Linked DNA regions of Alligator mississippiensis. The protein of the gene in region 2 purifies or fractionates together with the protein of the main gene of each other region. This does not show direct contact. Links are inferred from orthologs where the notes say so. Each region holds a gene or a part of one and is shown on either strand. Other genes may lie near its edges.

The links. The genes of interacting proteins can lie anywhere in the genome.
Region 1: the proteins of MCRIP2 (region 2) and ATXN2 purify together in Homo sapiens (co-immunoprecipitation; 3 studies listed by BioGRID and IntAct, with this or other methods). This does not show direct contact. The link is inferred for Alligator mississippiensis from reciprocal best matches to the Homo sapiens genes MCRIP2 and ATXN2.

What each region holds. Positions count from the first base shown.
Region 1 is NC_081833.1:3,641,517-3,648,634, forward strand, and holds the start of ATXN2 (ataxin-2), read right to left. Parts: upstream 3,073-7,118; 5' UTR 2,982-3,072; coding exon 2,803-2,981; intron 1-2,802. UniProt on the Homo sapiens protein: Involved in EGFR trafficking, acting as negative regulator of endocytic EGFR internalization at the plasma membrane.
Region 2 is NC_081836.1:27,208,660-27,215,843, reverse strand, and holds the start of MCRIP2 (MAPK regulated corepressor interacting protein 2), read right to left. Parts: upstream 3,069-7,184; 5' UTR 2,985-3,068; coding exon 2,930-2,984; intron 2,849-2,929; coding exon 2,773-2,848; intron 1-2,772.

The DNA.
Region 1 (7,118 bases), on a different chromosome or scaffold from region 2:
AAACAATTGATGGGAGGAGTTGGCTCCAGAGGCTTTTCTGTGCAAAATAATCACCCAGAAACTGCAAACCAGTTTCTTTTGTTTGATAAATACCTTAGACAACTGTACTTTTTCAGGTTCTCAGTTGGGGCCTGCATCCACTCAGAGCCTCTGTGAAAGCCTACCTACATCATTTCAATTCAGTATTTTACAAAATGAGACTGCCTTCATAAAAATACACACATATTGCAGGTGCAAAATTAAAGCCTCCCCCCTCAAAAAGAGGGAGAGGCTTTTCATTAGACTTTCTACAAATACATTAATAATGTCAAGAGCTAGTCCTCTTTTAGCACCCCTTCCATGTATATGGAGAAGAGAGAACACCAGGTCAGATTTACAGTACACATTCTCTGACAGCTGCTATAACAGGCATCGACGCGCCTTCCTCATAATTACTACAGGTCAGGGGCTCATGCTGTTGATTAAAAAGCTTACGAGAAAGTATGCAAGCAACACCATACTAATCACTATCTATGAGCATTAGTCGCTATTTAAAATGACCTACAAGTTACCCATTTATTTGTCCGATAATTTAACATTGTTACTTTAATTTAATTTGGGGCTACTCAGAAAATTCTGTGCCATTTCATATTTGTGGTTTATTACTAACTTGGGCCTCCGAGACCCTGTATCCCTGCTAACTCTTTTACATGTGCAATTCTCTTCTTCTCAGAGGAATGCACCATACTTTAAAAATCGAGTTAAACCTTGAAGCAGCCTTGAGAAGTGGAAGCACGGAAATAATTCGGGTCTTAGAGATCGGGAAGAAGTGAGGCAGAGAAAGGGTGACATTGGGAAAGGTACTAAAATCAGGGGTAGGACAAAATTCACTAAACAGGTCCTCTGAGCAAAGGCCTTCTTACCCTTCCCTAAAGGGGCTGGGGGCTGTACTTGAAGATCTTCCAAGGTCCCTTCCAGCCCTAATGTCTATGAAATCTATGGAAGTGGAGACTGGCCAGCCACCTCGCTGGGGTCACTTGACCCCAGTGGTCTTCCTGCCTAGAGCAGGGGCTGGACCCGATGATCTGCGAGGTCCCTTCCAGCCCCTGACAGCTGTGAAACTATGAGAAGTAGCTACTGATGCAATGTGCAGCATATGGGGGGTTTCAAATGAAAACAGAAGTATGAATAGTTCCCTTGATGTCTTGTGAAGTAGTTACTGTAACAAAGGTGGAGTCTAGTGGTCACTGGAAGTTGCTTCCCACACACGCTTGTGCACATTGGCTCATCGGGATAAAGGGATGGTTTAGCTTTCTGATTTTCTCCGCAAGTGGGTTTCATTTCTAAAGCGGCCATCTCCTCCGCAGGACCTGGGAGAGGTCATGCCCAATACTCCTGACCAGCTGCATCCAGGTGGGACAGCCATCTTCCATCTTGCTCTCCTTTTACAGGAGACTGGAGAAAAGCAAGATCGACTACCCAGTTTTCGCCGCGGAAAGGGCAAATGCAGAGACTCTGCCTGAACCGCGAGAAGCAAGCTGGAAAACCCCGAATTCACTGGGACCCGGTGATCTTGTAAGGCCTCTTCCAGCCCCAACGTCTGTGAAATCTAACATCTGTGAATATGTTTCAGCTTCTCTCTCTTTATTGGTGAGAACTATTATTATTATTTTATTCATTTATTTTTACAAGTACTTTCACCGCGTTTCCTTTTTAATAAAGACTACTGGGCCCAGTTACACAGACAGTCCAGAAACAGGGGGTCGGACTGATGATCTGTTTCGGTTCCTCCCGACCCCAAGTACTACGACAGCAAAAAAAGATTAAAAATGGGGAGTTTGCGCCACGCCAGCGGCTCTACTTGTAGGCACCTCAAAACAGGTCCCAGCTGGAGGGGGAACGTGTCAACAAACGCCAAAAAAACCCGCTGGGAGAAACGCGGAGAAATAACCACGCGTCCCTTCGCACGGTGCCTGTTCGCGGGTCACCCGTCCTGCCTACACGTCGATAAAACCGCGCCGGGTACGAAGATCTGCTGAAGATATGAGGAGGACGCGGACTAGCCGCCCGCCGCCGGTCACGTTTGGCCACGGGGGCCGCGCGCTTGTTCCTCGCGCCGCTTACATCGCAGGGAAGAGACCGGCACCACGTCCCGCGGGCGCGCGCCCCGAAACACGGCGAAGCGTTTCGAACGCCGCCCTGCTCGTCGAGGAGGGACCATCTGCTCCTCACGCACCTGGGTTGTGTCTGGTGTCAAGGAGGGACCATCTACTTCTCATGCACCTGGATTTTGCCCCTTTTTAAAAGGGAACCATCTAATAAATAGGTCCAGGCGGGAACGCCCCCAACCCAACCCAACCCAACCCCACGAGATACTCGCACCGAATCGCCGCAGAAACGTCAGGAGCCGGCCGGCCGGCCGGCTAGCACGGATGGAGGGGCCGTGCCCGCCCCTAAGTGAAAGGAGCAGGTGCCCGTCCTCCGCGGCGGCGGCGGGGCCGCAACCCCAGCACCGGGGCCGGGCTGCGGCGCGGGGTGGGAGACGACGCCTGCCCCCGCTGCGGGAGCCCCCGCGGCTATGGGGGGGATAAGCCGGCAGAGGAGCGGCGGGGAGACGCCGCGCTGCCCGGCCCGTCCTTCAGCTTCACCTCGGCGCGGGGCGCGGGGGGAGGCCGCGCGGCCTAGGCCGGGCCCGAGGCGCCCCGCTCGCAACATGGCCCCGGCGGAGGCAGAGGCAGAGGCGAGGCAGGCCCGGCCCGGCCCGGCCCGGCCCGGCCCTGCCCGGGAAAATGGCCTCTCGCCGCCGCGCTGCAGCGCACCCACCTGCCCGCGCTCTGCCGCCCGCCGCCTGGTGTCGCCGCCGCCGGCAGGCCGGAGCCGGAGCCGGAGCCGGAGCCGGGGCCGCCGCTTCCACCGCCGCCGCTGCCGCCGCCGGGGGGTTTGCGGGCACCGCCGGGGGCCTGCGCCGCCGCCTGCTGCTGCTGCTGCTGCTTGAGGGACATGGCCGCGCCGCTCCTGCCGCCGCCTCGGCCGCTCGCTGCCACAGCGCGACTCGGAGCCGGAGCCGGGGCCAGGCGGGCGGGCTCGCGGGCGGGCGGGCGGCGGGCGGCGCGGGGCGGAGGGATCCGCGGGGGAGGGGACGCGGCACGCTGCGGCCGCCCGCCTGGCCCGGCCCCGCCTCGCCTCGCCTCGCCGAGCGCAGCCCCGCCCGCGCCCGGCCCGGCTCCACGGAGCGAGCGAGCGAGCGAGCGAGGGGCTCGCGGGGCAGGCAGCGCGCCCGCCCGGGGGAGAGGCAGGCGGGCGGGGGGCGCCGGCCGGACTCTTTGGGGCGAGTCGGAAGGGTCCGGGCGGTGAGGCGGCCGCGTGAGGCGCGGGGAGGAGCCGGGGGCTCCCGCGAGGCTTGGCCCGGCCCGGCTGCCCGCCCGCCCGCGGGGGAGCCGCTGGGCCCGGCTAGGCCGCACGCCGCCCCCGGCGCCGCGCCCCTCAGGCACAGGCCTCCCCCACATGCGCGCCAGGCTCCGCGCACGCACGGGCCCGGACGCGGCCCACGAGGCTCCCCGCGGCCCACCCACCCGTGAAGCACGAAGCACGGGGCCCGGCTTCCCCCTCGGGGCCGGGGCCGGGGCGCGAGTCACTCACAAACACCTCGGACATCAGCGCGCGTCTCTGCCCCGTCGTCTGGGGCAAAAGTTGCCCCTTTTGCCACCGGAGAGCGGCCTCCATCACTCGCCCGCCTCGCCTCGCCTCGCCTCGCAGCCCTTGGCGGGGACGGGCGCGGGCTTGTCCCGGTTCTGGTGTCGGACACCGGCTGCGGCGCTCGGTCACCAAATACCTCCGGTTCCAGCTGAAAGCCAAACCGGCTCAGCGGGGATTATCGTCCTGGATCGCCAGCTTTCAGGGCTCACGTTCCCCAGGGCTATTATTTTTAAGCAGTGTTTAATCTTGCTGTAGAGCCTGACAGGCCAATTCACCTCAAAACAAACATCATCATCATCGTCGTCAGCATCCTCGCTACGTCCGATGATAAGCCTGGCGTTTTTAACTCGTGGTCTCAGGCTGGATGCATTGGTGGCACTGGTTGCACTGACTTTGGTTACTAGTTCTCTCCGAGCGCGGCTAATTCATACGTACGAGAAAAAAAATTGGGGCTGTCCCGCTTAAATAATTTTTAAGGAGTCAGCGTCCGTAATTAGCGTGAGCTCGTGTAGTTGCCGGACTGCCGCCGAGTGGACGGATAGCCAAACCCGCGAGAAGTCCGGCGGCGTTCGTCGAGACTCGTGATCCCCCAGGATTCGAGTCTAATAAAGAGGAATTATGCCACGAGGCAGGCATTATTTATACACCTTGCTCGCAAAGCGGTTGCTTTCCCGTAGGGTTAGGGGAGCTGTGGGTGGTAGCACGCAAGGAACACGCCAACATTTAATAGCTTCTTAAAATTAGCTTCTCCCCCCCCCCCCACCTCGTACATTTGGCTCCTAAGTTTCTTGCTTTGTTTTACCTTGCAGGCCTGAATAATGATGTGGTGACACATTACTGGCTGGAGGACAGGAAATGCCAGCCGAAATGGACACCGGAGCAGGAATTCTTTAATTGGAAACGCTCGCAGCGTGCGGAGCCAACGTTTCAAGAAACTCCACTTGAATTCTCCCCTTTAGTCCATTTTATGCCCAGCTAGTCATTTCTTGGCCACAAAAATCGAAAGCCAGGGACAGCATTCGTGCAGCTTGGAAGGAGATAAAGTTACCGCTGACAAAGGTTTTTTAGCAACGTTTACCACAAAATTAAACAATTCTGTGGAAGAACTCGGTCCGTCTGCACCCACTACGCTACGTACAGCCACCCGCTGCCTGCTATTAGAAAGCCTCTTGAACGTTAGTCGAACCATGCACTTTTAAATAAAGAAACAAGTAGGCCTACAGCTGGCTAAACTCTTCAGGACGCTGCCGGAAGGCAGCACTGCACCTAGGCTCCTGGCAGCCCCGGGCAGACTTTTAGTATCAGGCCCCCCCCTTTGCCAGAGATGATATTATAATAATAATAATTTTTAAATTACCATTTTTGGATCCCCTTTCTGTCCAGCCCCCGGTTTACCCATTCCTGTGTCCAGCCCTGCCTTACGTACAGGACTGTAGCGTTAAGGCCTCATCTCGCTACAATACAAATTGCAGTCGAGGGACTTTTAGGTTCCTGACCAGGCATGTTCTGGACCTTTCCAGTTAGCTGGAGCTAGAAAAGACTGTCCAATTTGTGTGTATACTGGTGTCATTTTAAAGTCGAGGCACGCGAGATAAATAAAGGGTCAGATGCACTTGGATGGAATCTGGCACACGAGGATTATCCAATACTAGCCATTTTACCTCATGTTTTTGCATGCTAGATTATTCTAACCACATACAATTTCAGGTTACTGTATAAATCCTGATAGATTTCCTGCCAGGAGATCCAATCTGAGCACCCCAACATGGGGATACATTTTATTTAACAGCTTTGGGGCAGCGTTCAATAGTTGAGCTGCAGTTTTGCAAATAAACATGAAGTCTCTTGTCAGCACTTCATTAAGTGCTGCGTGATTGCGGTTGGACTGGTTTTCCCTTTCAGCGTGGTTCTTTGCACTGCTGCGCCCTGTGTTTGCTTTCCATTGTCTATTACCCTTGCTTCTCTGCCCTACTGTACTGTGCATGGAGACCAAGTAAAAATAAAAATACATGTATATTAAAAGACACATATATACAAAATATACCAATAGATTAAAAAAGGAAATAAGTGACTGCCATCAACAAAGCCATTAAAATTAACTTACCCTCAGTGACAACATCCACAAGGGGGTTTATGAAGACAAGCGAATCCTCCTTCCATGTGAAGTCTACCAAAATCCCGTAGCGAGTGCCTTTAAGAGGGTCAGTGGTCCTGTTGCGACCCCACTCCAAGGCTTTTGATGGGAAAACCTTGCTGGAGTCCTACATCTTCACTGCAGATAATTTCTATCACTTGGTATATTGGTCATGTTCTCTGCATCCCTCTTGCCTAGAAGGTTAGCTTCCCCTACCTCCATGCAGGGCTTCAAATTGATGGTAGCTCATCTCCTCCCCAATATACTTTAATTCTGATCACACTTCAGCTTGTAGCAAGAGCACTAAATCAACAGAAACCTTTCCCATTTTGGCGATTCCTCCTGGTTTGATCACAACTGAGCTTTTCCCCAAAAAAATGCTGACTCAAGAATGGAGAGGAGATGGCCAGTGAGCTCAGTCCAAAAAAAAAAAAAAAAAAAGCCTCCATAAACTCTAATGGCTGAATTCAGACCTGGACAGAGTTAGTGCCAGTGCTTGAAGACTGGTGATGCTTCAGAGTCAGCAAAATGGATCACCTGGGAGGTCTCCAAATGCAGTTTGAGAACCTGGAGTTTTGGAGCAGGCTACAAGTTTCATTTATTTTGATTTTCTTTTCTCCATGCATGCATATTATATATCTGCGCATTGGAGGAAAAAAAAAAAAGAAAAAAAATATATATATATATTTCTCCCCATTATAATCCTTGTACCGCTGGAAAAGTGTTCCCTTGCTGCTAGGCTGACTCGCTTGATAGCTATTGGATTTGCTTTTGTGCTATGCACTACTGAAATCTTTCTGATTAGTCAAGACGCTGGTCTCTAGGTGGCTTTAAAAACCTCTGTACGGCAGCGTCTTTAAGTACCCAAGGATACTTTAAGTCAGCTACAACACATCTACCAGGTACCGTAGCAATCTAGCTGTGGGGAGAGGAGTTCAAGACTATGCTAGTCTTATTCTGCCAAGTTAAGCAGCTGTTGAAGAACACAATGATTTATCCTCAAGAGCAAATCATGCATTCGCAGGCCCTGATATTCGAGTCCTAGGTTAGACCATTCTTTTTAAAGCTACTTTAAAATCAGTTTTCATTCAGAATTGATGACTATCAACAAGAAATTACAGGGGCATGAGCAGCTCTAACATATATGATCATGATCAGATACATTTTCAAGAGATGAACAATTTTGGGTATCATTGTCTTGCTCAGGATTTTAAGGATAGTTCTCAGTGACAAGGCGACTGTGAAGCAGAAACAAACCCTTGCCCATTCTGCATGTGTCTATTTAAAAATCCAACAGCTAAAATCCTCA
Region 2 (7,184 bases):
TAATCAGCCCCAGTTTATAGAGGAGATATAATTTTTGCTCAGGGTAGTTACACTTCTGTTTCTAGTTTTAAACTCTGCTCAATCCTTCCAGCCTTTTCAGTGAAGAGCTGAAGAACACTCTGACCCATGTTTTATTCAAGGAGGCCTCCACAAAAGCCAGGTAGTTGCAAACAGATCTGCCTGATGTTTCTGAAGAAATATTAAGAACTTTCAGGCTTTTGTTTTTACACCATAAAGAGGAGAAAATAAAAAGGGCACAAATGCAGAATCTTTTGGGAGCAGCCTGTCACAGTGAAATGCTGGGGCCTATTTAAAGAAGCTCCAAGGGAAATAGGTGATATCCAAGACAACCCCTCTGCACCAGGGAAAATGGAAGCTAGGTGGGTGTATCTGACAGATGAAATTGAGAACTAATCAATTGTTGATAACAAGAATCCTGTCAAACTGATCAAGGATTTGCCTCTGCCTGCAGGATGGCAGCCAACAGAAGATGTTCATATGTCAAACACATGTTTCTGGTGTGACAAGGGTAGTGGAAGGCTGAGTTCACCAGTTCTATGGTGCCTTTCAAAGTTCTTGAATGAAGAGGTCTGTAGGAGCACAAAGGATTATTACAGCCCTTTCCATCAATGCCAGTGGGCTTGGGATTAGACCCTAAAGGGAAAATTATGTAGCCAACCCTTAGACAGGCCTCTGTAGCCTTAACACCTGTTGATTTCAGTGGCTGTCAAGAGCATTTGACACTGCCAAGGAGGGGCACAGCAGCTTGTAGAGAGGGACCCTCATTATTATAGGTGGGCTCAACATCTGCTGTAGCTCAGACTGTCATCCCATTTTTGCAGGCTGCAGAGAGAAAGAAAAATCCAACCTGAAGAACAATCAGAGCTAAAACAGTTACCTAGATTATATCAGTGAATGACAGTGAAAGAATAGAAACACATAGACCAGTTGCTCCCAAACTCTGCTTGGAGAACCACTGGTAGCTTGTGGAAGGATGGCTGATCATAATAGCGCCTCTTCCCTGTTTGCAGCCACTACATACCATTAAAAAGACCACTATATCTATGTGTGTTCTCCAAGTTTACATGTTTAAAAAAAAAAAAAAGTATTTGCCATAGGGATGTTCTGAAGTTGCAAATAAGGAGATAGAGAAGAAAGTAGATGGTCATGAGCAGAATTTCCTCCAGATGTTTCATCTAGGAAGTCATGTCCCACACCAGGGAAATGTTTGTAAGCTCCTTGAAGACGTCACATCGCAGGGGACAGCAGGTGTCCTAGCTTGTATATCCACCCATGGAAGTGTAGCTTGTCCCACAAAATCTGATTAGCAGAGGAACAGACTTCATTGCAAGACTATAGATTAGTATATAGCATGTATGGGGGAGAAGGAGGATGTGCAGAGGATAAACTGCATATGCAGGATGTAACAAAGTTATCTGGATTATACAAACTAGAAGAGTCAGATCCAGTAACCAGAAATCTACCTTTAATTGGGAGGTTCTCTCTGAGCAACTTCTACAGTAACCTTAACGGATAGCTACGTGTCAATTCGGCTTTATCCCACAGCAGAACCACTGTAAAAGTGGAATACTGCATGCTTTTGACCACTTGCTGTTTGAGAAGTGTGAACCTGTACTCAGACAGCTGTACAGTTACACAGGTTTCCAGTAGGCCAGAGGTAAACCTGTGGGTGCAGCACTGATGTTGCAATTTCCTGACTTCCAAGCACTTAGCTCCTACAGTTTTCTCATTGTATTCTCACCCTGTGGAATAGAGTGCTGTGATATAGGGACAAAAGCTGCAGATACTGGGAGGAAAAAGGTCCTGGTGGACGAGTCTCAGGGATGCCAAGTGCTCCAGGTGCAGTGAGGTCAGAGGGAAATAAGAGCACTTTAGTCCCACTTTGCACTGCTCACAGCAGGCAACTTCCTAGATGAAAGGTATGTACATTCGCCTGCCTGAGACCACGTGGGTGAGCATCCCAGGTATGGAGGAGGGAGCAGAGCTGGAGTTCACAGTTTGACCTTGTCCTGCAGGGAGTCAGCTCCCCACAGCTGCACCCTTGTGCCCTCGCAGACCCCGGCCCCCTGGAAGCTTCACAACCATCTGACTGCAGATCTGGGCAGCCGAGCATCTCGGGCTACAAGGGCGGCCCAGAGCTGGCACCCAAGTCTAGGCACAGGAGCGGAGATGGGGCTGGGGCCTGGCAGGACTGCTGTTACCTCAATTCCCTTTACTTCCCACGCTCAAGAGCTGCACCTGCTGCCTGCCCACCACCTCCTGCGCCTGCAGCCTTCCCTGCCCCCTGGCACGGGCTGGCAGCCGGCGCGGGGCAGCGGGCGGCGGAGGTGCGGGGCTCCCCGCGGCCCCGGTGCCCGCCGCGAGGCCGAGGGGCGCGGGCGCAGCCTGGCCCGGGCCGCTCTTATCTCCAGAGCCCAGGCGAGGCCCAGGCCTTATCTGCCGGGCGGCCGGCGCGGGGGCGCCCGCGGGGCTGCGGCTCAGGGCCCCTGCCCGTGGTGGGGGCGGGGCCCGGCTCAGCCCGGGACGGGCCAGGGCCAGGGCCAGGGCCGCCCCGCCGCGCGGGTTCGGGCAGCGCACGTGGGAGCGCCCGGCCGGGGCCACGTGCCCGGCCTCACCCCCTCCGCGGGCGGGTCCCCGGGGCAGAGGGCGCCGCGGTGCCCCGGGTCACCGCCCGCAGCCCCCGCGCGGGGCCGCGGCAAGGACGAGCCGTCACCTCTGCACAAGGTCAGTCCCGCCCCCGCCCGCACTCACCTCGGCGGCGGCCACGCGCCCGGCGGCCGGCATCGCGCGTCGCCCAGCTTGCTGCCGTCCACCTGCTGCGGGGGCCCTGCGGACACGGCCGGGTCAGCGCTGCCGTCCGCGCCCCGTCCGGCCCCGGACCACCCCCTCCCGTCCCGGCCGCGCTCACCTGCCCGGCGCTGCGTGGCCAGGCGGCTCGGGCCCCGCGTGAGCGTGTACATCATGTGCGCGGGGACGGAGACGGGGGGTCCGCCGCTCCGCTCCCCTGCGCAGCGCCCGGCCCGGCCCCGCCTGTCGCGGCCGCCCCGAGACGCCGGCACCGCCGCCCCAGCCGCAGCCCGACCCGACCCCGAGCCGGCGGCGGTAGCAGTGCGGCCCCTTTAAGAGGCCGAGGGGCGCGGCGACCGGGACACGCCCCCGCCCTTAAAGGCGCCGTGTCCGCTCGGAGGAGCCGGCGGGGTCTGTGCTGCGGTCGTGGCGCCACGTGCGCAGCGCGGGACGGTCTTTTATAAGTTGTTTATGCGTTTACCAGGCGTGATCGTTGTTGTTCGAGGAAGGCGTGTCTTCGCGTGTTATGACGGACCTTGTCGTGTGTTTACGTTTTTACGTGTATTAATAAGAAAACGAGAACAGCCCCACGCGCGAGCCGCGGGCGTCCGGGCCCAGGATGCTGGCAGGCGTGAGCCCCCCGCACGACGAGCCAGGCGCAGGGCAGGCGGCAGCTCCGCGGTCCCCCGGGCGGGCGGTGTCCGGGCCGGAGCCGGGACGCGGCGCGGCGCGGAGGGGCGGCAGGACGTGCCAGGCAGGCCCCCGCGCCTCCCCGCAGGGCAGCTCCGTGCTCTGGACAGCGCAGTCATCCCCGACCGCCCGCTGCCGCCCGCTACGTCTAAACTCCTTGCGCAAGACGATGCCGCCGCCCGCCTCACGGACAGCGGCGTGGTCTGGCCCGTGCTCCCGCCACCCCAGCTGCAGGAAGGAGGAGCCACTTTGCAACCTCTCTGGGCTGTTGCAGCTGCTGAATCCTAGATAAACCCGCCGAGAGCCCTTCTGCACTAAAGGTCGGACAGGCAACAGCCCTTCCAACGGCCGGCTGGGACCAGGGGAAATGCTTGAGGGCCAGGAGTAAAAGCGCTGAGGGGTATGCGTACCCCATGGCCTCCCTAAGCCCATAGGCACGTGATGGGGCAGGGGTGGGCGAGCCCTCTTGGTTCTTTAGCAGTTTTCAACTCTCAGGAAGTAAGGGGACGCTGCTTTCATCAGCTGTGAATCTGGGAAGCACCACAGGCTAGCACATAAAGACAAGAGTCTGCCTCCAGACCCTGATACTGCAAGTGACTCCATATGGACAAGTCCTTGCATCACACCAGGCCTTGCTTTATCTGCTTGCATAACCAGGTGTAATAATTCCTGTCTCCTGAGGGTGTTGCAAAGCTTAATTTGTTAATGTTTGCAAAGTGCTTGGCAATCAGAAAAGCAAAATATCATCATCTGACGGAACTCATTTTACCGGAGCGGCACTGAAAGAATCCAAGATGCAATCACTACCTTCCACTGCTTTTGTTTTGTTTCTGCTTTTAGGCAATTGGTCTGCACAGACTTAAGCTGACAGGCAGCTAAATATTTGGTCATCATTTGGTACACATCAGTAGATGCTTACTGAAACCCAGGGGCTCTGCTGACATATCAGCTAAAGATCAGACTGTCTATATTGTAGACGGAGCTCACTATTTTATGATGCTTTCAGCTATTTCAGTTGCTCTTAATGAATGTTACCCAGCAGCGCTTTCAAACTTCCTGACAAAATCATCACGTGACCAGTGGAGTGTGATCAAAGCAAGGAGGGGAACGGAATACAAATCCAGGCCAGTGATTCAGTTTCTCACTGAAATAAACTGAAGAGCTTCTCAAACCAGGATTAAATTTAGCTTCTGTGAGTACATCTACCCAAGACATTTACTGGGGAGTAGACTAATTAGCTCTGCAGTACACATCTCAGCATCTACACGTTTGGCCTTATTAGGCTGCAGGAAACTAACAAGCTTCACAGCTGGTTAGTACTTATAAATACAAGTATTATCCTGTTGTGGAGTTTTTTCATGTATAACAGTGCATGTGCGGATGCTGACCCAGGTGGTTGGGGCATGAGACTGCTTCAGTCCAGAGGTAGCCTGCCAGTTAGCCCTGTACTGGAGCACCCTTATGCCCCTGCCAGCCCTTCTGCAGCACATCGAGCTGGGTCAGAGCAGTGCCAGGCCATAGGCCCCTTGCCAGCTGGGACCGCTCCAACTTGGCTCAATGTGCTGAGGTCCTGAGCACTTGTATAAACAGTCACTCAGGAGCAATAAAATCTGCCGGGATATGCATTAATATACATGTGTAGATGTGTCCAATACGTAGCAACTCCGGATAGATGGATGCATACAAAGATGGTAGCCCTCATCTTTCAAACACACCCAGGTTAGCTAGGCACTGGTGGCAGAGATTGTAGGTAAGCTAGTGATCAGCAGGGATCCTGGTTTTCTCTGATTTAAAAAAATTCCCAATTTTCGGTTAAAAAAAAAAGTAATCCCAAATCCACATTTTTCCATGATTTAAATGAAATGTCACTAATATATAGGTATGTATATAGTGGGGTTTCATTTTGATCATGGAAAAATGTGGATTTGTGGTTACTTTTTTTAAACTGAAAATTGGGGATTTTTTTTAATCAGAGAAAACCAGGATCCCTGGTGATCAGTAGGTAAGGTGCTTGGCTGATTGCAGAGGGTAGTTAGCAAGAGAGGGTCCCATTGACACCCAGATAAAATAATCCCCATAAAAGAAAAACCTCCATGTCATTCACCAGACACTTCCTTTGTGGGGAAGACAGATGGGAGTAGGTATGGGGGGAAGTTTCTGTGGATCCCATCAGTTCCGTATGGATCATGGGGAATCGGTATAAGACATGTTGCCCCCTGGATCCTGCTGGTCCCTGGAGAGCATTGTCGATGCACCAGCTGTGCTTCTAGAAGCAAGCTCAATCATGGCTGCCCCAGAGCCCTATTAAAGTGGTACCACATAATTGCTTTTCAGCCTTTTGGCTAAAATCAAGTGTGACAGGGGCACCTGAACTTCCAGTCCTAGGACTGCATGTAGGATGCCAGTCTGGATATAGGGAACATCTGAACTCCGAGGCCTGCAGGCCTAGGACGTTAGATACTGGCCTGGTTGAAGTTATATTGGCAATGGATACCAGTAGGCACAGTTATTGAGCTTTTCTCAGTTGGATTTGGAATTTAATTGGCTATTGGAAATAAATAAATAAATATATATGGAAATATATGTATGTATACATAAGGTGGTGCCCCATAGCACAGAATGAGAAACAGTATAAGTAAATAGCCTAAGGTGAATTTCTGTCCTTGGCCCCAGCTCACTCTACAGAGTCTCCCATGGAGCCAGAATTTAGGAGCAAAGCGTGCAGGGTCATGGTGCGAAGGTGAGCATCATCTCCCTCCACACCTGGCTCTGGAGGGATGCATGCAGTCTCAGGCAAAGACATATTTTGGGAGCAAATTGAGCTCCATTGCCACTCGCATTCAAACACACCTTGTTCAGACTCCGTTATCTCTGAGGGGGCAACAAATTTAACTTCTCCAGGCCCTGTGACACCCACTGGAAAATCAAAGGCACTAACTGGCTCCAGCTGACTGAAGGGTTCCCCTGTACAAAGGCCATGTGTTTCATCATATACCAAGAGAGAACTGTGTCTGCTTGCATGCATGAGCTGTTGCATGAGAAAGGGGCCCCTTCTAGATCCGGTCCTATTTGAGCTGACAGTGGTCTTGGGTAATTTCACTGCTCAAAATCACGGTCTTGTTCTATTGCATTGACATAACTGACTTGGATTTGTGTCTCATCTTAAAGGCTGAGTCTATTTTACTCCAGACTATGCCCAGGAATAGGGGGGTGAGGAACAGATCAGCTCCCCCTTTACACAGATCACTTCTAATCTCCCTGCATGAAGGAAGTAAAAGGCATTTGAAACAGAAGAAAGGAAATTGTTTTTCATACTGTGCATACTTAAGTGTGGAACTCACTGCCACAAGGTACCTGGAGAACAAGAGAATTCACAGCAGAACATCCCCTGTTATATTAGATTAAAAAATTACAAGGGCTGTTACCTCTCAAGCATCGGAGATTGGGGCAAACTCTGGCTGATGAGAGTGAGGAAGAAAATGGTGCAGTTAGTTTGTAGTTTTCTACCCTGGGATTTCTCCTTGAAGTATCTGCTGCTGATCAGTGCCAGGAACAGAGGGAGGGGAGCCATCAGTGTGATTGCAGAGAAGCTCAGCTTGGCTTAGCAGAGAACTCTTCAGTGAGCTTAAACACAAAAAGGAAGCTTAAAAGAAGTGGAAGCTTGGACAGTTGACTAGGGAGGAATA